3 linked regions of the Drosophila melanogaster genome follow. Changing the gene in region 1 together with any one later gene gives a genetic interaction. Each region holds a gene or a part of one and is shown in the gene's direction. Other genes may lie near its edges.

Region 1 (6,414 bases):
AATAAAAAACAATTTGAGAAAATAATGCAATTTATATAATAATTTCCCTTTCTATAGCTAAGTAAATTAGGAGACTGGCAATCGTTCATATTATTCAGATTTATTTTTAAAAATATTCCTAGTTCTATGCTATCTTGGCCTTGGGTGGCACTTTCGGTATGCGCTTTATCCTCCTGTCCACGATGTGGCGTAGACGCCTGTCCGGCTTGACCAGCTCGCTCTCTGTCATGGGCTCGATTACCTGGCCCTTGCGCGTGATTACTGCCGGACGGGTCAGCATGCGGAACGCCGTCTCCGGCACAAAGTTCCGGCCAACTGGAGCACGGATACTGGCTTCGTAGTCTGCCAGGGATCGGAAAGGAAATGGTATGCTGGAGACCATGTGCTGGCGCGCCTGCTTGCTGGCGGACTCGTTGAGGTAAAGATTATCCTTATTCTCGTCACGACGCTTTTCCGGAGCAGCCAACTTAAGAAGAAGCCGCTTGTTTCGTCGCTCCATTACCTCCTTCGAAATGCCAGCACCCGCCCAGGAACCCCATCCAGGCAGGGCGAGCTGAAGCTCAGTGTTCTTAAGCTCGGAGTCCTTGCTTTTGTCCCGATTAAAATCAGCTACAATGTCATCATCCTCGAAGGCTTGACTGATTGTCAACTGGCGTTCAGCAGCGGCGTCTTCCTCGTCGTATTCAGCTGCTTCATCGTCTATTAGAGCATCGTTAAAGCCTCCCGAGTTGCCCTTCTTTTGGGTAAACACCAAAGTTGTCACCTTGTTGGGATCTATGGTATCCACAGCTGGAATTTCCGTGCTTTCTGTGTTACCTTCAACGTGGGCAGGGATATTATTCTGTGAATTTTTATCCTCCTCGTAGTTAAGGGGCTCGTCAATCTCTATCTGTTGCTTTGTCTTTTTTAAAGCCAGACTTTTTAGGTTTTGCAAGACGTCCTTCTTTTTCGCCTTCTTTCCCTTGACAGGAACTTCTTTAAGTTTGTTTATCCGTTCCCTCAATTTCTCCATTTTCTTATTTAGTTTGGCTCTGATATGATCCTCGTGTTTCTCAAAAATGTCATCAATGGCTTTTGAATTCGGGCTTGCCTTGGCTTCTTTCTGATCAGTTGGGCAAATATCTTCCACCTCCCAGCCATTTTCTATCTTAACTTTCGATTTCTTAAGTTTCTTCTTAGCAGGTTTTACTTCTATTAATGGTTTCCGAATAGTTTCTTTCTCCTCCTGCTCGTCATTATCCTGGACTCCTTCCAAATCCCTACGATGCTCCTCCAGTAACTTTTCGTTTTTATTCCTTTTTGTCCAATATTGCCGCCAATTGGAACCCTCACTTTCACCATTTCCATTTTCCGTTTGCTCTGTAGCTTTTCTTTTTGTCCAAGGATTAAAGGGATCGTAGTCATTATCCTCCTCCTCGGGTAAAACTCTCTTCTTGGTGGTTTCATCTTCGCTGTCTGACACCTGCTTTTTCTGGGTCAGTTCCCTGCTAACAGCCAACTGCTCGGCCAGATCCTTTCGCACATCCTTGTCGTACTTGGCCCGTATCTGCAGATTCTTCGCCCAAGTACCGGTGTTCTTGTGCCGCAGGCTGGCACGCTCCTGCACTCGACTCTTTTCCAGGGCATTAAGCTTTTCCAGCGCCGCCTCTGGATCGGTTTTCTGCAGCAACTCGAACTCCTTCATCTGCTCCAACATTTTTTGTCTCTTCTGCAGCTTGTGGAACTTTTTCGATTTGATTTTGTTTTGCATGCGCGCCTTTGCTGACTTTTGAGACTCGCGCATCTTCAGGTAAGCTAGCTCCTTGCGACGGGCAAATAGTTCGTCCCTGGTAAGCTTCTTTTGTAGTAAAAGCCGCTCTTGCTTGGCCAGCTCCTTTTCATCCGTGGTATCCCCAATTTGCGCTTTGCGCAGTTCCCGTAGTTTACGGTTGTTAGCCTCGAGTTCTTGAGCAAGATTGGACTTGACCCGGGTGTTTAGAGGCCTGGCATTTGCCGCAGTATTTACGTAAACCGTTTCAGATGGTAGGGGGAAGATCTGTAATAAGTTTTGGAGATTATATGTGTATGTCACTGTTAGCATTGGCATTCATTCACCTGCGTCTCCGCAGATCTCTGTTGAGCCACCACAGCATCCCAACGACCGAGTTTCTTGGTAACTCCCTCGTAGCCAATGGTCCGTTTAATTCGATCCGCAGCTGGTTTCTCCAGCGGCTTCTGTAGCACCTTTTTGCTGCCATGGATGTTCTTGAGCTTCTTGCCCGTCTGACTGTGCTTGGTGGAGGTGCGTAGGATGTCTACCAGATCGTTCAGACCCACGGCTCTGGGGGCATGATCCGTTTCCGCTGACGAAACACCTTTTACCAGCTGGAACTCATCCTGGAGCGACTGCCGCTCGTCGCGCGTGGACTTCTGGATGTGCTGCACCTTGCCCAGACTGCCGATGGCCTGCAGCAGCTTCTTGTGTGCCTTTGGTTCGTAGTGCTCCTCGTCGTCACTCATTTTTGTCAGGAAAATATTTAAAATCAAATAACAATACAAAAATACTTCGCGCAGCACGTGTGCAGAATAACAGCTGAAGAGTTATCGATAAGTTTTGCGGCCCATCACAATTTCTACCTGTGCTCGATAGCATGAGTGTGGAAAATGGAGCTGCCTTCTTTTAAAAATTAACTTAAATATAATAACATTTACTACTCAATACATATATCTATGCATCAAAAATCAATTGATTTTTTTTTAACAATAAATGTACTTTTAACTCAGCGAAAACCCCCTTCGTAACGCCCTTGATGATTACTATCGATTGTCCCCCCACGAAAGACCGGCTATCGATGACAACGGGATGAAAATATTTTGTTTACGAATTCGACATTCGAATCGTCATGGCCGACACGAAATCCGGTAGTGGTCGGCATTCGGCTGCCGGGGGAAGTGGAAACGCCGTCCTGTCGCCCTTGGGGCAGGGTCCTGCGAACTTGGAGTGTAAGGACTTTCAGGAGTATCTGCGCACCCGCCAAACGCCAGAGTCGCTGGAGAAGCTGTACAACTATCCGCCCATTTGTTTGGCCGTTTTTCGGGAGCTTCCAGAGATAGCCCGGCAGTTTATCATAAGGATACTGTTCGTGGATCAGCCTGTGCCACAAGCGGTGGTCACATCATGGGGTGCCCAACGTTGTGCCAAGTATGACTGTATCCAATTGGATAAACAATATCATTGCAATGCATTACTTTTGCAGGGAGCAAGCCGAGGCAACCAGCTGCCTGACGGCTTTGAACGTCTGGCGGGTCACAGCCATTCCGGGTGGCCTTTCTGCGTGGGAGCTCTCGCCCACCTTCAAGAAAAGCGTACGCCAGGTGCTGCTGGGCGGCGGAAAACCTTGGCCTATGACCAACACGCTGGATAAGGACTCGAAGCCCAGGGACATTGCTTTTCTGGATACATACGCCATGTCCCGCTGGCGTTGCGTGTTGCACTACATGGTCGGCACCGGAAATCGCAATGGCACCGATGCGGAGGCCATTAGTCCGGACGCCGTTCGGATTCTGCTGCACGCCAATCTCATGAAACGTGATGAACGAGACGGTATCACAATAACCCGGCAGGGCTTTCAGTTCCTGCTGCTGGACACGCGAGCTCAGGTGTGGCATTTTATGCTACAGTACCTGGACACGTGCGAAGAAAGAGGAATCAGCCTGCCGGAATGCTTGTCCATGTTGTTCCAGCTCAGTTTTTCAACGCTGGGCAGGGATTACAGTTCCGAGGGCATGAACAGTCAGATGCTGACATTCCTGCAGCATCTACGGGAGTTTGGACTGGTCTTCCAACGTAAGCGTAAGGAGGGACGCTTCTATCCCACACGTTTGGCTCTGAATGTGACAAGCAAGGAGGCGGCTGCGACTGCATCTGTGGCCATGGATGAGGAGGCCACTCAGGACTGTGGCTACATTGTGGTGGAGACGAACTACCGAGTGTATGCCTACACTGATTCTCCGCTCCAGGTAGCCGTGTTAGGTCTGTTCACGGAGCTTCTCTACCGCTTTCCCAATCTCGTCGTGGGCGTGCTAACCCGCGATTCAGTGCGCCAGGCGTTGCGTGGCGGTATCACGGCAGAGCAGATTGTCTCGTATCTGGAGCAGTATGCGCATCCCAATATGCGCATGGTCGAGTCAGCCATTCACTCTAAATCCTGCCTGCCACCCACAGTCGTTGATCAAATTAAGCTGTGGGAATTAGAGCGAAATCGCTTCACCTACACCGAAGGCGTGCTGTACAATCAGTTCCTCTCGCATACAGATTTCGTAACGCTACGAGACTACGCCCAGTCGATCCACATGCTGGTGTGGCAAAATGAGCGAACTCGCACAATGGTGGTGCAAAAGAATGGCCACGACGATGTCAAGCGTTACTGGAAGAAGTACTCTAAGAGTGGTGTTTAGCCCGGTATTACGACCAATTATTGGGAAGTTATTTTAGAAGTAACATCTGTGCCCATTTTGTTACAAGCTAAAATTTTAAAATATGGTTTAATAAGGGAGTGTGGGATTACACATTTATCATCGACATTCAACATACAAGTGGAATAAAATTAAAATACACAAGTATCATACACATAAAAACAGAAAACCACCAAAGCTTTTCCTAGATTGTCCTTTAGGATGGGTCGACATGTAATATTGCTAAACGTAAAAAACAGTGAAGAGACAACTAACAAATGCATACAAAATAATTTTATTTACCCAATAAAATAGAAAATTTAGAATGTCCTATACGTTATACCTAAAGAAAGCATATCGAAACATCCTCGCCTACCTAAATGCGAGTGGAAAAGAAACTAGCTCAACCTAATACAAAATGGGACGCTGGGGCATGCAGAGATTGTAGTAGCTGCCCTTGGCCCAAAAGTCCATGCCCTTCCAGCCGCACCAACCTTTAATTTGAATGGTGGCCAAATCATCGGCACCTGTATAATGGGGATCCAAGATGAGGAACTTCACCTGACCCGTCTGCACGCAGTAGTCCACCCCGATAATGGTGTGGGCCAGAACACCGCCACCAATCATTACCGGTGTACCTTGCGTTTGGAAATGCATCGCCAGCTCGGAGGCAATAGTCGCCAGCTCAGCTCCAGAGGCTACGTGCAGAATTTTTGAGTCCACGTTAAGGAATCCCTGCAGACACATGCTGATTTCTGTGGAACCAATCCACTGAGAAGAACCCACGAATGCAGCAGGTTTGTCGTTGATCTTGTGAAGGTATTCCTGCACCTCCAGATGCGTCGGAATCGGTGCGTTCGTATAACCCTGCAGCACAAACCAGGAGCAGATCGTCTGCAGCGAGCGATATGCGCATCCCCATCCCTTGTCCTGCACCTGCTGTTGCAGGTAATGATAGTAATGGTAGTTACCATTTACTAAGTACTCTTTGCCGTCGACAACTCCACTGGGACGTAATCCGATGTGGGTATTTAGCAGCGGAGTCCATGGTGCGTCCTCCGTTTCACCTAGGAAAAGCATCTGGTTGGCCCTGCGGAAATAAGGACGACTGATGGGCAAAGCAAACTGTCGATGCAGGCGCTTGCGTCTCATTAGCATGCTTGGTGTATCGTCACTCAGACCTTCCAGATAGGCGCAGCTCACGAAGTGACCAAACTCTTGTGGGTAGAAGTGATAGCTAGCGGGCACCAGCAGCTTTCCACTTCCCGACTCCGTGAGATGCTCAATCAGGCTCAGTTCGAACAATCTGAGACCTCTGCAGATGCTCTCGATGAGTACGTCGTATAGCCGTTGGAGCTTCGTTTTGCGGCAGAGAATGGCCATGGCTTCGATCTCTAATGGTACCTGGACTCGGATCTGTTCCTCATTGGTCACAGCAATGCTGAGTGCCGGATGAGGTGGCTCTCCGGACACGGGATCACGACTGCGCGAGCGCATCACATCGATGGGGATCACCTCGTAGTCGCAGCCAGTCGGAGCCAGTCTCTTGACTGGCGTGTTCTGACCTTTAAGCTTCTTTTTGTCGACACTGGCAGTCTCCTTTTCATGTCCTGGAGTTGGAATGACGTCTATAAGATCCTGAATTTGGGAATCGCCGCTAAACTGTTTGTCCAGTGGCCCGTAGTTATTAATGAAAATCTTTGTCTGCGGAACGTTAAACACTAGATTTCCGTCGGCTACCCTTTTGCGCAGCACATGCATTTCCCGGGCCACGGATTCCGGTGTGGCGGCCGTTTGCAGAAAGAATCCGCACTGCAGCCGGGTGAAGCAGAAGTCGTTGTACAGCTGATGTGCCTCCATAACCTCGTAGGGTACCTCCTCCAGTTTTCCATGGACGAAAAACGAGGCCCGCAAGCCCACCAAGGTGCCCAATTCGCATTGCAGTAGGATGGGATTATCGGTGATATCCACAGATTTGAT
Region 2 (5,317 bases), on another chromosome or scaffold:
AGATGCGTCTTCCGGTTTCACAGATGGTTCTGCCTCGAGTAATCCTTCGGGCAGTTTGAAAACAGATGGCAATTACAGGGCAAACTGGCAATCCGGCCGGTCTTCCAGTCCTGGCTCTCAGTCCAGTCCTGGTTCCAGCTCCGGATCCTGGTCATCTGGATCCAATGCCGGAGCTTATCCTGGCTCCAATGCCGGAGCTTATTCTGGCTCCAATGCCGGAGCTTATCCTGGCTCCAATGCCGGAGCTTATCCTGGCTCCAACGCCGCCTGGCAATCGAGGACCAATGCTGGATCCAGCTGGCATTCCGGACCCGTAGCAGGATCGGTCTCCAATCCGGGATCGTACTCTAGCTGGTCCACGGGCTCCAGTCCTGGTTCCAATCCCGAATCTAACGCCGGGTCCACGCGCTCCTCTTGGATCACGCGCAGTCGCGGCCCATCAAACTATCTGAACGGAAGGTACCAGCAAAGGGTTCACCCGAGCAACCTGCAGGCCTACGATGAGTATGCTCGCCATGGTGGCAATACCCGCCAGTACAACCGACGCCCACGCGAGGACACCACCGCCCCCTAGATTGCAGTTCGAACTAAGTAGCAGTTAAATATACGTCTTAAGTAATTTGCTATCCTATCCAGGAAACGAGATAACGATCCAAACCCCAACTCGAGTACCAAACAAACAAAACTTTAACCACAGAACAGTGCCATTTTCCGTGGAGATGTAATCTAATTACGTGGACACCAAAAACTAAAACCATATGACACATATGCCACATACCAAATATAATTATGGAATTATGGAAGAGGGGTCGAGAAGAGTAACCACTGCCTCCACTGCAACGAAAGTAAATCTTGTGCCCCTGTTGGGATTATTGTAAACGTAACACAACCAAAAAGAAAGCCCAGTTTTTTGATAAATAAAATGTACAACACATAAAACGAATGCACAAGAAATTTCGTTTGATTGAAATTAAAGCGAACTTTATATCCCATCTAAATCCGATCAAATGCGATTTTGTTCGGTTCGGATTGGATGCGTTTAGGATGTGTAGAGTAGGCTATAGTTGGGGTGAAAACAGAAATACAGCTAAGTGGATAATGTCGGGACAAGAGCTTATGTTTAAGTTAGGTTCAGAGCCGGAAATCGATGTCTGCGGCTGTTTTGGTGTTGTCCAACTGCTGTTTTCCGCGCTCCTCCGTCCGTCCAGTCAGTCCAATGCTATTATTTAACAAAGTCCGGATTCTCCTGCACCTTTTCGGTGAACTGCAGATGGTTGTCGATGATTTGAAAGAGTACCTCCGGCGAGGGAAAGCGTCCCGTCTGCAGTTTCGACCACACAGGCACATCGTTTAGTGTTATCTCGAAAGCGCCGGACGAGATGAGCTGGGCCTCGAGCATGTTGCCCAGGAAGAAGATCATCATGCAGGCGTATATCTTGTTAGCCTGCATGTGGCTCCACCAACTGGGCGTGTTCAGGCCAAGGAAGGTGAACGGACTGACCGCACTGACCACGGACACAATGATTATGATCTTCAGGGCGAATATCATCTTGGAGAGGTAATAGTTTAGACCCGGCGGATCGTAGTTGCCGCCATTCACCTGAATTTGCGGATACTTCTCGCCCAGCAGGCCCACGTAGTCCTCGAACGCCTTGCGATAGCCGCAGGAGTAGCTATTTGGCGAATCAATGGTGAGAAACACAGAGGTCATTGTTATCAATTATGTTAATTGCCCCGCATATAACGCACCAGTAAAGGAAAGTCATCGTCGGCGCTATGTTCTGTCCGAATTTGGTAACCGGTATCTCCTTCTCGCCCTCGGCGAACACCAGGGCGTATCCGGCGCACAGGCACAGCACCAGTAGTGCCACATTCCTTCCGGTCAGCCTTTCCATTGCGTGCTTATGGTCTGATTTAATTAGGAATTTAATTTGGAATTCAATATTTCCTCACACTTTTGCCTTGGTGTTTGTCCGTGTGACTGGCAAATACCCCGCTACTTCTGTCTACTTTTCGTAGTGAGTAGCACTGATAGGGCTGGCAAAATAGCTATATTTCTTAAAGTACGAAACTTCCGACGGTGAAACTAACATAATATAGTTAATATCGGGTGCTGGTTTAAAGCAATGTGTTATATTTCGTTGATTGTAAATATTATATTGCCATGCTGAAATTATTGATTAAATTATCAAGTAAAGTCAAAAAAATATCGATAGTAAAGACTGCCACCTCTAGCCTACGTTTCACTGTGAATATGTCATTCAGCTCTGAGAATTGGTGAGATTGTTTATTAATTTCGGCAAACAAATGCTGGCAACATGGTAAATGTTATGAAAGGAGTGCTGGTGGAGTGGTAAGTGGTATACGTTTGGTATGCGTTGGTTTCGCTATATTCAACCCAATCCCCGCAGTGATCCTGCTATGAAACAATTCCTGCTGCACTTGGACGAAAAACTGGCTCTGGGACGCAAATTCATTATCCAGGATCTGGACGAGAACCATTTGTTTATCTCCACGGACATTGTGGAAGTTTTGCAGGCGCGAGTGGACGACTTGATGGATCGGATAAGCTTTCCGCTGCACGACAAGGACGCTTAGAACCTACACAACCCATAAAATCCAATAGCCAAAAGTAAAAACCTAAAAACAACCATGACGGGTCGCGAATCCAACCGCATCAAGGACGCTGAAAAGAAGCGTGTCCTGGACTCCACAGCCCGCCAGCGGCGTGCCCGCAAAGCCTTGGAGGCTCTGGAGCAGGACAACTACCACGATGACCCACACGCCGACCTTGTCATGTCCAAGAAGTTGCCCAAATTCCAGGACAGCCTGAAGACCGGCAAGGAGAAGAAAGGCAAGCGCAAGGGCGCCGAATACTTTCTCGTCAAGTATCGCAAGAACTTCCAGCAACTGCTCGAGGAGGACAAGGACAAGCAGCCCAACTACGAGAGCGCCGCAGCGCCGGCTCCACAAAAGCCACTGCGGCATTTCTGCGCCGTTTGCGGCAACTTCTCGTTGTACTCGTGCACCGCCTGCGGAACGCGATACTGTTGCGTTAGATGCCTGCAAACGCACCAGGACACGCGCTGCCTCAAGTGGACGGCCTGAGCATGGTTGTTATGTTTACAAATAAATCAAACATTAGGCATAACTGAATTGCGCGAAGTTTCTGGAAATACATACAACAAATTTTAGCTGTCGTGAATTTTAGCCAATTTGCCAGAGCCATTGGGTTAATGTCATGGCTAAAGATGCCGGCAACATCAAAACTTTGGTTCGAAACATGGCTGTTCAAGGTATTTGTCCATTTTTAGGCAATTATGCTGTGAGCGTCATCGATAGTATCGACCGCTGTGCCACCTCTAGCGCAGGTCCATTGAAACTTTTCAAACGTCTGCATCGACGGCGCCTGTAAAAGAGTCGCTGTGGTTCAAATTAAATTCAACGTTCCCGAGCACAAAACACTGCGAATTGCGGCCTTTTAGTCACCAGAAGGCACTTAAGTCGGCTAAAAAAAATCATATTAATTTCAACCGGCAAAATCAGCTGTAGCTCGGTGCCTGTGCGTGTGTGTGTGGGTGTGTCGTGTGCGTGCGTACGTGTGTGTGTGTGCGAAGTTCCAATCAGAAGGCCAGGATATTCAAACACATCTGTGAAAATTTCTTATTGATCACAAGTGTTATATTTTGAAATCAAAACACTGTAGAATATGGATCGGAACTTCGACGAACTGAAAAAGGAGGCCGCTGCCACCAACGAGGACATCTTCAAGCAGGCGCAACGTGCCTACGAAGACTCTGCACTTGGTGGCGATACTGGCAATGTGAGTGGTGGTGCCCAGGACGATAATGCCCACACGGAGCACTACTTCGCCAACGAGCAAAAGAAGTTGGACTTTGGCGATGCGCAGGAGTTTGTCCAACGCCTGGCCGCCGACGCTAAGGATGCCAAACTCGATTTGGACACCAAGTTTGCACAGAAGACTGATGATTTCGAGGACTTTCTGCGCGACGCTGGCAAGGAGGTGAAGCAGGGCATCAGTGGACTGACCACCGACTTTATGAATGCCGAGCGGGGCTTCTCCGCTCCCCTGGCTCCATTCTCAGAGACGGTAGCTCAAGCTCCGGTTATTCCAGCACAAGCTCCAGCTGTTCCCGATCATGCTCCGGCCGTTCCAGCTCCAGTGGCGCCAGCTCCTGCTGTCCCAGCTCCGCTTCCTGTCGAGGAGGACCTCCTGGGCAGCTTCACTGACCAGCCATCGGCACCACTCCAGGCCTTCCAGCCAACGGCACCGTCCACGGCCAATTTCTATGACGACGAGGAGGATGACTTCCTGGGCAAGCCAACCACTGCTGCCCCAGCAGCTCCTGTCGCCCCATTGACCAAGGCCAACCAGGATTCCGACACTGAATCGCCGTCCGTCTCGTACACACCATCGCCGGCCAAGAAACCCATTGTAGATGCCCTCAAGGATCAGGACAACGAGAAGTTCATCTCGTCGGAAGATCTGGCCAGCGATTTTAAGGAGGAGCCACGCTCAGCACCCACACCAGCACCCGCACCAGCTCCCATTCTCGATGCTGCTCCAGCTGTTGCTCCTGCTCCAGTGGCAGTACCAGTATCAGTACCAGTTGCCAAACCCCAGCCGGTTCCAGTGGCTGTACCCGTGACAACCGCTTTGATAACCGACCTGGATGACGAGGAGGTGGTGTTCAAACCCACTGTCCAGGAGGCGCCGAAGGCACCCACCATCGCCGCACCCGTAGTCGAGCCGAAACCAGAGCCACCCAAACCCAAGGTGGAGCCGGCCAAGCCGAAGGTTGTGCCAGTGGCGCCAGTTGAATCGACCCAGCCGCAGCCAAAGATTGCGTCCGTCGAGGAGATCTTCTGCAAATACGGATTGGGTGAGTCTAGCCACTGCAAATAGCAACTAGTCAACACCAGTTATCATTGCGTTTCTAATTAATTTGTTGTGTTCCCGTCGTCATTCGAGTATTATAGTACACCGTCGTAATTTGAATACCATTTTGATGTTTGTTCCCAGTGTCCTTGCGGCGCACCTTGCATCCCACGCCCTTTCCCATCGCCTGCTGCCCCTTCTATTTAATTTTGTTTTGTGCGTTAGTCATTCGCCACTCTCTTATTATTATTATTTTTTTTTTTTTTTTGTATGGTTTTTTTCCTCCAACTCTGCTCATGAGTCATCGTTTTTTGCGGAGCTCTCTTATTAAGTGAATTTTATATCGCAATGCGGTGAAATTTAATAGCCTAGAAGATACTCTCTTCGGAGGCCGACTTTTCTTCTTCCTTTTCCATT
Region 3 (9,270 bases), on another chromosome or scaffold:
ACTTCTTGGCAATCGCCAAGTCACGGCCCTCGCCATATAAAAAATATAGTATGAACAATCGGGAATCTTTTGGTTTTACGATCGACCGACAAAGCCCATGTATTTCCTGTTACGTCCATTTGGGCCATATAGGCACATAAAATGGGTGCTCCAACGCTTGCCGTGGGAAAGTGTGCTCCAATTGCAAAGTTGTAACATTGAGCGACATTTGATGAAGGTTACCGACTTTTATCTCGACAAAAACACACACGAATTCCAGATGAAGCGAGCGTGCGTAGTTTGCACTGCAAGTTTTTTTTTTGGAACAAATAGTTTTATGTTTATATCATTTTATATCATATTATATTCCTTATTGATTGAGTGTCTGCACGGGTCATTAAATTAAGAAGCAAAAAAAAAAAAGGTGTCAGGAATTGCATTCCATACTCCTACGAGTAGATATCAATTTCACCCGATCGTGGTCAATTGGTCAATTGAAGTAATTCACAATTGAATCAATACAATACCATATAGGGCTTCATTGAAGAAGATGCCAGCAGGACTGGATGCTCATGCATGAATAAGTTGAACGTTGAACGCAAGCAGAATGGATTTCAGCACACACCGCCTGACCACTTTGCTGCTCCTCCTCCTGGCCACAGGTGAGATATCGCAATCCAGATATTGCGATCTAATAATGAGGGAATTTCTCCTGCCCACAGTTGCCCTGGGAAATGCCCAAAGCAGTCAGCTCACCGTCGATTCCCATGACATCACCGTTCTGCTGAACAGCAACGAGACTTTTCTGGTGTTCGCCAAGTGAGTTGCCATTGCCGGGAAATCCAAATCCAAAACATATGGCATCGTAAATCTATTGTGCCCATTACAGCGGATTGCTAGACAGCGACGTGGAAGTTGCGCTGGGAACAGATTCGGAGGATCATTTGCTCCTCGATCCCGCAACGTTTGTGTATCCAGCGGGCAGTACTCGAAATCAGTCGGTGGTGATAACTGGCCTCAAAGCCGGCAACGTCAAAGTGGTCGCAGATAGCGATGATGCGAACAAAGAGATGTGAGTAACTTCACGGGAATCCCAACTGTTCCCGTACCTAATTGGAAAATTCACTTATTTTCCAGTGTGAAGGATGTGTTCGTACGCGTGACTGTGGCCAAATCGAGAGCTTTGATCTACACCTCCATCATCTTTGGCTGGGTTTACTTTGTGGCCTGGTCGGTGTCCTTCTATCCGCAGATCTGGAGCAACTATCGCCGCAAGTCCGTCGAGGGACTGAACTTTGATTTCCTGGCCCTCAATATCGTGGGCTTCACCCTGTACAGCATGTTCAACTGCGGCCTCTATTTCATCGAGGATCTGCAGAACGAGTACGAGGTGCGATATCCGCTGGGAGTGAATCCTGTGATGCTCAACGACGTGGTCTTCTCACTGCATGCCATGTTCGCCACCTGCATTACGATCCTTCAGTGCTTTTTCTATCAGGTAATAATATATATAGCAAATACCATTCAATAGCCTTATCGCCGAAGTGGCAACAGTTGTCGCATTGAACACTAATTGCCATCAATCAAAATGCCAAATCATTTGAATCACAGCGGATAGTTACGATATGAAGAGTAGATAAGGTTTTGACTTGTAAAACATCCATACTTTGTTAAATTTGTCCAGAGAGCACAGCAAAGGGTGTCGTTCATTGCCTACGGAATATTGGCCATCTTCGCCGTGGTGGTCGTCGTGTCTGCCGGTTTGGCCGGAGGATCCGTCATCCATTGGCTGGACTTTCTGTACTACTGCAGTTACGTCAAGCTAACCATTACCATCATCAAGTACGTGCCGCAAGCTCTGATGAACTATCGCCGGAAGAGCACCTCCGGCTGGAGCATCGGCAACATTCTGCTGGATTTCACGGGAGGAACGCTGAGCATGCTGCAAATGATTCTGAATGCTCATAATTACGGTAGGATATAGTCTATCAATTTGTGATTTTCGAATGAAATCGTGTCTGGTTTCCAGATGATTGGGTGTCGATTTTCGGTGATCCCACCAAATTCGGACTGGGTCTGTTTTCCGTGCTCTTCGATGTGTTCTTCATGCTGCAGCACTATGTGTTTTACAGGTGATTGAAACATTGTGTGAATATGATACTTAATCTACGATTATGTCATCTCCACTGTACACTTATCATTATTGCTGTGCTGTTTTCCATTTCTCCCCAGGCATTCGAGGGAATCCTCGAGCTCTGACCTCACCACCGTGACCGATGTTCAAAATCGAACAAATGAGTCGCCGCCGCCGAGCGAAGTGACGACTGAGAAATATTAGAGCTGCATTATCATATGTCTGCTGTAGAGAAAGACTTTTGTGCCAGTAGCGCTTTATGTACATTTTTAGAATTGTAAATATATCCGTATGCCGTAGCTGCCTAAGCTTTGTATAATTCGTGCGTTTTAATTGAAATTTAGTTTGACTAAAATTTGGAATTTCACCATTAAATAAAACTTAATTTTTTGTAGGAGCCAGAAATCATACGGTACATTGCTCGACCATTCAAAGGGCTGTGCAGTGAAACCAATTTGCTGCATACGGCGCGTTATTTGCAAACTAATAAATAGATTGAAGTATTGAAAAAATTTCAAAACAGAAATTCTAACTTGCCGCACAATGGGCAGCACTGTTCGCACTCGGCCAAATCCTTATCGATAGCTTATCGATAGCCATGGATATATGACATTAAGTTAGCCAATTTCCGGTTAGTTGACATCCCTGGAGCACGGAAGATTCTTGCGGACACAAATCGCAACTGCTAAATAAAATTTATTTATTTGAGTGCACAGCCATGAGTCTTCACAAGTCCGCGTCGTTTAGCTTGACTTTTAACCAGTGAGCGGAGATATTTTATTCGGTCTTACCCAACAAAATAATGTTGCGCCTTTTTGCAGAAACACTTCGATTGTTTCGCGTAGCAATAGTCGCACAATTTTTGAAGCTTTCAAGGAGTTCCTGGATTTTTGGGATATCGGCAACGAAGTTTCTGCAGAGTCAGCAGTTCGGGTCTCCAGCAACGGAGCTTTCAACTTGCCGCAGAGTTTTGGCAACGAATCCAACGAATATGCCCACCTGGCTACGCCTGTGGATCCAGCCTACGGAGGCAACAACACGAACAACATGATGCAGTTCACGAACAATCTGGAAATTTTGGCCAACAATAATTCCGATGGCAATAACAAAATTAATGCATGCAACAAATTCGTCTGCCACAAGGGGTGAGCAAATTCAAAACACGCGCTCCAATCGATAAACATTGGCTACGGCGATTGTTCGCGCTGCGTGGCGAATGGCAAAATCCAAATAGTCGGTGGCCACTACGATTCTGTAGTTTTTTGTTAGCGAATTTTTAATATTTAGCCTCCTTCCCCAACAAGATCGCTTGATCAGATATAGCCGACTAAGATGTATATATCACAGCCAATGTCGTGGCACAAAGAAAGGTACAGTGCGGCAACAAATTGATGATCGAACAGTAGAAACCTTGCATGTAGCAACACGCTTGTACTTGCATCATTCGCGCGGCCAACTTGTTTGTGTTTGTTTATCCAGCCAAGGCGCAGTTTGCCACTAAGTTTTTATTTCCCTTTTACACTTTAGCACTGATTCCGAGGATGACTCCACGGAGGTCGATATCAAGGAGGATATTCCGAAAACGGTGGAGGTATCGGGATCGGAATTGTGAGTACCTGGTCACGTGGTCACATGTGGTTTGCCTGGTTGCTAACTATTATTGTTTTTATTATTCCAGGACCACGGAACCCATGGCCTTCTTGCAGGGATTAAACGTGAGTTGTGCTTTTAATGTGCAAAGCTATAGCTTACTAACTATTTAATATTATTCCCCGCAGTCCGGGAATCTGATGCAGTTCAGCCAGGTGGGTAACATCGATTAGCTATTGCATCTTGAAGCGCTGGGACAGATCGGCCTGCACGAGGATCAGCAGGAAGCTGGCCACCGCCGAGAAGACATTGCTGATCAGTCGCATGTCCAGCTCGTACAAGCCCAAGGGTTTAATTTGGTACTTGGTCACCGTGACCAGCAGAGTAAAGCCGTGGACTGCCTGACGGTAGCGGCTGTCCGCATGCTGGAGATTCATCTCCTGGAGAATGACTGCCGATCTTCGGGTGGCCACCAATAGGTGGTTGCACAAATGCGTGAGCAATGTGATCTCCGCCAGCGAGATGGAGAGGAAAACCAGATTGATCAGCGATCCAAGACCATCGTACGGCTTGCCCATGATTAAGGTGTCCGCTATGGCATAGTACAGACTGTAGAAACCCACCGTTATTCCGAGCAGGTGGCATATGAGCGACAGAATCATGGACAAGGACATTGGGGTCAGATACTTTCCCGAATGCACATATATCAACCTATAGCGATACGCCAGCTGGTCGAGTTCATCCGCCAAGGCGCAAAATCGCTGCATGCGGTAGTATTTAGTGTACAACTTTAGCTGGTCCTTCCTCTGCAGCAGATTCACCTCCTGCAGCTGCGCTTCCAGCCGTCTGTTCAGAGCGTACAGAATCTCCTTCACCACCACCATTGCGCCAAAGTAGCAGTTATTGAGAAAATTCGAAATAATTAAGGGAAACAGCCGGTACAAGGTCCAGATCAAGCTCATCTCGGGATGCTGCCGCCTCTGTTGCAGTATGAAAGCCACTTCAATTGTTAGAGGAAAAGCCACGGTCTTGACCAGAGCCAAAACGATGGATATGTACAGCGACCTGCTGTCCAGACGGAATTCTTTTAGGGTATCAAAGAAGGGCACTTTGCTCAACACCTTGGCCACATGGTCACTGATTATCATTTGCGACACATAGTTAATAACAGCCACCGTAATGTTCATATAGCTGTACAGAGTGGTGGCGTCCTTCAGGTTGATCTGACCCTCCTGGTACTCCTTGTAGATTTGCCGCCCGTAAACCAAGCTGAATGCAATTGCCCACAGCGAAGCAAAGGCCAGATTTGCCTTTGAGAAGCGGAATCTTTCACGACGGCCCGCCCGATATCGATTGGCCAGGAGTCCGAAGACGGTCATAAAGCCTATCAGTATGATCGTCAGAAATTTCACCATACGCCGATGCGCGTAGTCGCTGGTGAAGTCCATTTCTCTCGAACAATTAATACAAACTGTGAGCGCACTTTCCACAGCATTAATATCTGCTTAATTGTTTTCCAACTACCCAACTGATGCCATCTAGAGGACCTGTCAAGTAGCCGGACACTATCGGGACACATCGCGAAACGCATGTATTTCACCGGCCGTCCAGAAACCAACTGAGCATGCGTTGTGCTACTACTAGCCACAAACAAAAGAGCATAAGAAGCGTGAGGGAAGCGGCATTCCTTGCGTGACTCAGCCGCTGCCTGCAATTTCATAAGAGCGACATGACGTCAAAGTCGCTTCGAAGTTCACTTTCAGTTGGAGGACAGAACAAAACACTCTTATCTAGCCGATTAGCACGGTGCACTCCTTCCCGTCGTCATCGTTTAGCGAGAATTTCAAGCACTTGTGAAAAATAGAATAGAATACAAAACAAATCGCCAGTCCATTTGTAACTCGAGCAAGCTGGAACATGAAGCTCTATCAGCTCTATGAGCGCAAAGTGTGAACCCTTATATGATTGCGAGTTAAGTTGACATTCAAATAATATCTTGTTTTTGCTTACAGCAATCCGTGCTGCGCGAAATGATGCTGCAGGACATTCAGATCCAGGCGAACACGCTGCCCAAGCTAGAGAATCACAACATCGGTGGTTATTGCTTCAGCATGGTTCTGGATGAGCCGCCCAAGTCTCTTTGGATGTACTCGATTCCGCTGAACAAGCTCTACATCCGGATGAACAAGGCCTTCAACGTGGACGTTCAGTTCAAGTCTAAAATGCCCATCCAACCACTTAATTTGCGTGTGTTCCTTTGCTTCTCCAATGATGTGAGTGCTCCCGTGGTCCGCTGTCAAAATCACCTTAGCGTTGAGCCTTGTAAGTGAAGATAACAATACAGATCGAACAGGATTATTTAACTATCATTTGTACAAACCTTTAGTGACGGCCAATAACGCAAAAATGCGCGAGAGCTTGCTGCGCAGCGAGAATCCCAACAGTGTATATTGTGGAAATGCTCAGGGCAAGGGAATTTCCGAGCGTTTTTCCGTTGTAGTCCCCCTGAACATGAGCCGGTCTGTAACCCGCAGTGGGCTCACGCGCCAGACCCTGGCCTTCAAGTTCGTCTGCCAAAACTCGTGTATCGGGCGAAAAGAAACTTCCTTAGTCTTCTGCCTGGAGAAAGCATGGTAAGGTGACAGCAAAACTCTAGATGGCTAGAACAAAGCTTAACGTGTTTTCTTTCTTGCAGCGGCGATATCGTGGGACAGCATGTTATACATGTTAAAATATGTACGTGCCCCAAGCGGGATCGCATCCAAGACGAACGCCAGCTCAATAGCAAGAAGCGCAAGTCCGTGCCGGAAGCCGCCGAAGAAGATGAGCCGTCCAAGGTGCGTCGGTGCATTGCTATAAAGACGGAGGACACGGAGAGCAATGATAGCCGAGACTGCGACGACTCCGCCGCAGAGTGGAACGTGTCGCGGACACCGGATGGCGATTACCGTCTGGCTATTACGTGCCCCAATAAGGAATGGCTGCTGCAGAGCATCGAGGGCATGATTAAGGAGGCGGCGGCTGAAGTCCTGCGCAATCCCAACCAAGAGAATCTACGTCGCCATGCCAACAAATTGCTGAGCCTTAAGAGTAAGCAGTGAATCGGAGGACAAAGAGATTAAGCTTTACTTACCGAACTTTCCTTTCAGAACGTGCCTACGAGCTGCCATGACTTCTGATCTGGTCGACAATCTCCCAGGTATCAGATACCTTTGAAATGTGTTGCATCTGTGGGGTATACTACATAGCTATTAGTATCTTAAGTTTGTATTAGTCCTTGTTCGTAAGGCGTTTAACGGTGATATTCCCCTTTTGGCATGTTCGATGGCCGAAAAGAAAACATTTTTATATTTTTGATAGTATACTGTTGTTAACTGCAGTTCTATGTGACTACGTAACTTTTGTCTACCACAACAAACATACTCTGTACAAAAAAGCCAAAAGTGAATTTATTAAAGAGTTGTCATATTTTGCAAACATATCCTCGTGGTGTACGCCAATGCCCAGAGCCTACTGTACCCCCACCGTGGAGCACATGCTATGTGACATGTGTGGCTTGTGTGCGGTCAATGCACTCAGGATGCAACTCAGCTAGCTAGCTGCTAATATGTCAAAATTGCTGCGTCGCATTTACATACTTTATTTATACCCGTATCTGCACGTCTTTGGTTTTAGTTCTATGCTTTCAAAAAAAAAAAAACAACCTCAAGCAGGGCGCATGCGTTGCGCCAGCGTTGCACATGTGCGAGGATGCAAAAAAGTGCAACAAACACCAGATGTTGACACTGTGCCGCTGCAGCTGCAGGCGACTTTAGCTTTTGCCACATGCGGCAGCTAAATGTTTACTCTAGCCCACCGATCGCTGTTCATTGACCTAGGGCAGGGGCATTAAGTGCGCCCTAATCGTAACGGAATGATAGCCTCTGTGTCCAAAAATTCAGCCAAAGCGGATGCACTCACTTCCATTTGGGGCCTGTCCTTCTTCGACCGGCTGCCACTTCCACTACCAGTTTGGCACCACGAAAATGGGTCGTTCAAAGTGCTCAAAACCCAGCGGAGCAACTCACTCAATTCTCGTTGGACGAGCGCACAGAAAAGTGGTTTTGGATACGAGTTGAGTTCGAGAGACCTTTCTGCACTGGGAACATACATGCGGCTTTGTGTAACAGAATAATAAAGTACGCAAACATATCTGTAATACTTAAAGCACAAAGAACAAATATAAATGTATCATAATTTGTTTAATTATTTATTCGAGGTTTCCAAACAAGTCATTCTGATAACAAAAGTTGTAAAAATAAAATCCACTAAAATTAAATATCACCCACTTCTCAGAATAAGCACAGCTGTATATACTTCAGTATATATTTTTTTCAGTGCACTTTTCCCAAGCGATGCAATCGCCTTAGAAGCCCAATTAAATACGTTTCTTTGATTGGCGGGTGCCAAAAGGTTGACAATTCGAAAGTGGCGCACACTGGGAGGCAGTGACTCATAATTTACATAATTATTTCGGGAAGATATTAAGACTCATACTATATTCAAGCAGTTGTTTATCATTTTAAACTGGCAGATACCCCATCTTTACGGACCAGATAAAGGGAAAGCAAACACGGCTGGGCTCTTATCGGCTACGATCTTCATCCGCAGTTCCCACTGTGCGCGTGGGGAAAACAATATGGCCCAAACACATAAAAAACAACAAAAAAAGGAAACAACCACAGAAAGCCGGGCTAAGACGTCAGGTGAAACGCAGTAGCTTCACTCGCGACTCGGCGCTTCCACTCAAAGGTGCTACCGCTGCCCACTCAAATCTGCAGCTCGTAGATACGAAAACCAGATAGCGTCGAGCGGCTGGCGATCTTCACTCAATGGGGGGAAATACTGCTATAGAGTCGAAAGCTTGTACACGTAGTTTGGCATTCGCAGTCGCTTGTTGGCGTTTTTAGTCTGCTGCCTGATCTTCGACGCGCTGCAGCTGTTTTGGAGTCGCCGCGAGTGCCATATTTGCTTTGACCGCGAAAATTTCTGGGCTAAAAACAGAGATATTTGAGATACAGATACATATATCTCATATCACATATTAGCCAATTGTGGGTGCAACAAGCTGTGAGTGATGGTGGAGACGGCAACGACAACGACCATAACCCGCACCACCACCGCCGTTCCGGCTGGTGCAGTAACGGTAACAGGACCCACTGCCTCGGCCACGCCCACCGCGACACAGGCGGCCGCGCAGGCGCATCGCAACGATGAGACCACCCGGGCCATCTTCAATCTGAAAGTCATCGTCTTTCTGCTCCTCCTGCCTCTGGTCCTGCTGGCCGTCTTTCTCAAGCACCTGTTGGATTACCTATTCGCGCTGGGACTCAAGGAGAAGGATGTCAGTGGCAAGGTGGCACTGGTGAGTTGCATTCGAGTGCCCATTGGGGCTAACAAATGGCTGCAATGAGCGTCTGGCAAATGAGCCATTAATAAGGCTAGTCAGATGCACATCAGACATGGATGCACTTAGAAAATGCAGTCGCATTTCATGTTAAGTACTGACATTAAAAAAGAGATATATG

What was found.
Region 2: of mrn (region 1) and Tfb5, changing one suppresses a phenotype caused by changing the other (phenotypic suppression), as found in Drosophila melanogaster (one study listed by BioGRID).
Region 3: of mrn (region 1) and p53, changing one enhances a phenotype caused by changing the other (phenotypic enhancement), as found in Drosophila melanogaster (one study listed by BioGRID).

The regions. Positions count from the first base shown.
Region 1 is NT_037436.4:15,576,975-15,583,388, reverse strand, and holds mrn (marionette), read left to right. Parts: upstream 1-2,851; 5' UTR 2,852-2,882; coding exon 2,883-3,181; intron 3,182-3,236; coding exon 3,237-4,437; 3' UTR 4,438-4,620; downstream 4,621-6,414. Other genes in the region: CG12301 (uncharacterized protein), read right to left, coding at 125-2,035, 2,095-2,499; Ufsp2 (UFM1 specific peptidase 2), read right to left, coding at 4,843-6,414.
Region 2 is NT_033779.5:5,007,768-5,013,084, reverse strand, and holds Tfb5 (transcription factor B5), read left to right. Parts: upstream 1-2,250; 5' UTR 2,251-2,318; coding exon 2,319-2,353; intron 2,354-2,411; coding exon 2,412-2,598; 3' UTR 2,599-2,652; coding exon of another isoform or gene 2,653-3,108; 3' UTR 3,109-3,154; downstream 3,155-5,317. Other genes in the region: vkg (viking), read left to right, coding at 1-574; SelT (selenoprotein T), read right to left, coding at 1,223-1,673, 1,750-1,895; CG31917 (uncharacterized protein), read left to right, coding at 2,653-3,108; Rtnl1 (Reticulon-like1), read left to right, coding at 3,710-4,904.
Region 3 is NT_033777.3:23,047,570-23,056,839, reverse strand, and holds p53 (p53), read left to right. Parts: upstream 1-2,757; 5' UTR 2,758-2,831; coding exon 2,832-2,875; exon of another isoform or gene 2,876-2,934; coding exon 2,935-3,258; exon of another isoform or gene 3,259-3,445; coding exon of another isoform or gene 3,446-3,483; exon of another isoform or gene 3,484-3,640; coding exon 3,641-3,721; exon of another isoform or gene 3,722-3,791; coding exon 3,792-3,828; exon of another isoform or gene 3,829-3,891; coding exon 3,892-3,918; exon of another isoform or gene 3,919-3,924; intron 3,925-3,936; coding exon of another isoform or gene 3,937-5,151; intron 5,152-5,609; exon of another isoform or gene 5,610-5,620; coding exon of another isoform or gene 5,621-5,650; intron 5,651-5,715; coding exon 5,716-6,025; intron 6,026-6,089; coding exon 6,090-6,336; intron 6,337-6,398; coding exon 6,399-6,793; intron 6,794-6,852; coding exon 6,853-6,875; 3' UTR 6,876-7,183; downstream 7,184-9,270. Other genes in the region: Ctns (cystinosin), read left to right, coding at 587-641, 702-798, 869-1,051, 1,117-1,477, 1,664-1,952, 2,009-2,111, 2,212-2,317; Gr94a (gustatory receptor 94a), read right to left, coding at 3,937-5,151; CG17121 (uncharacterized protein), read left to right, coding at 8,820-9,107.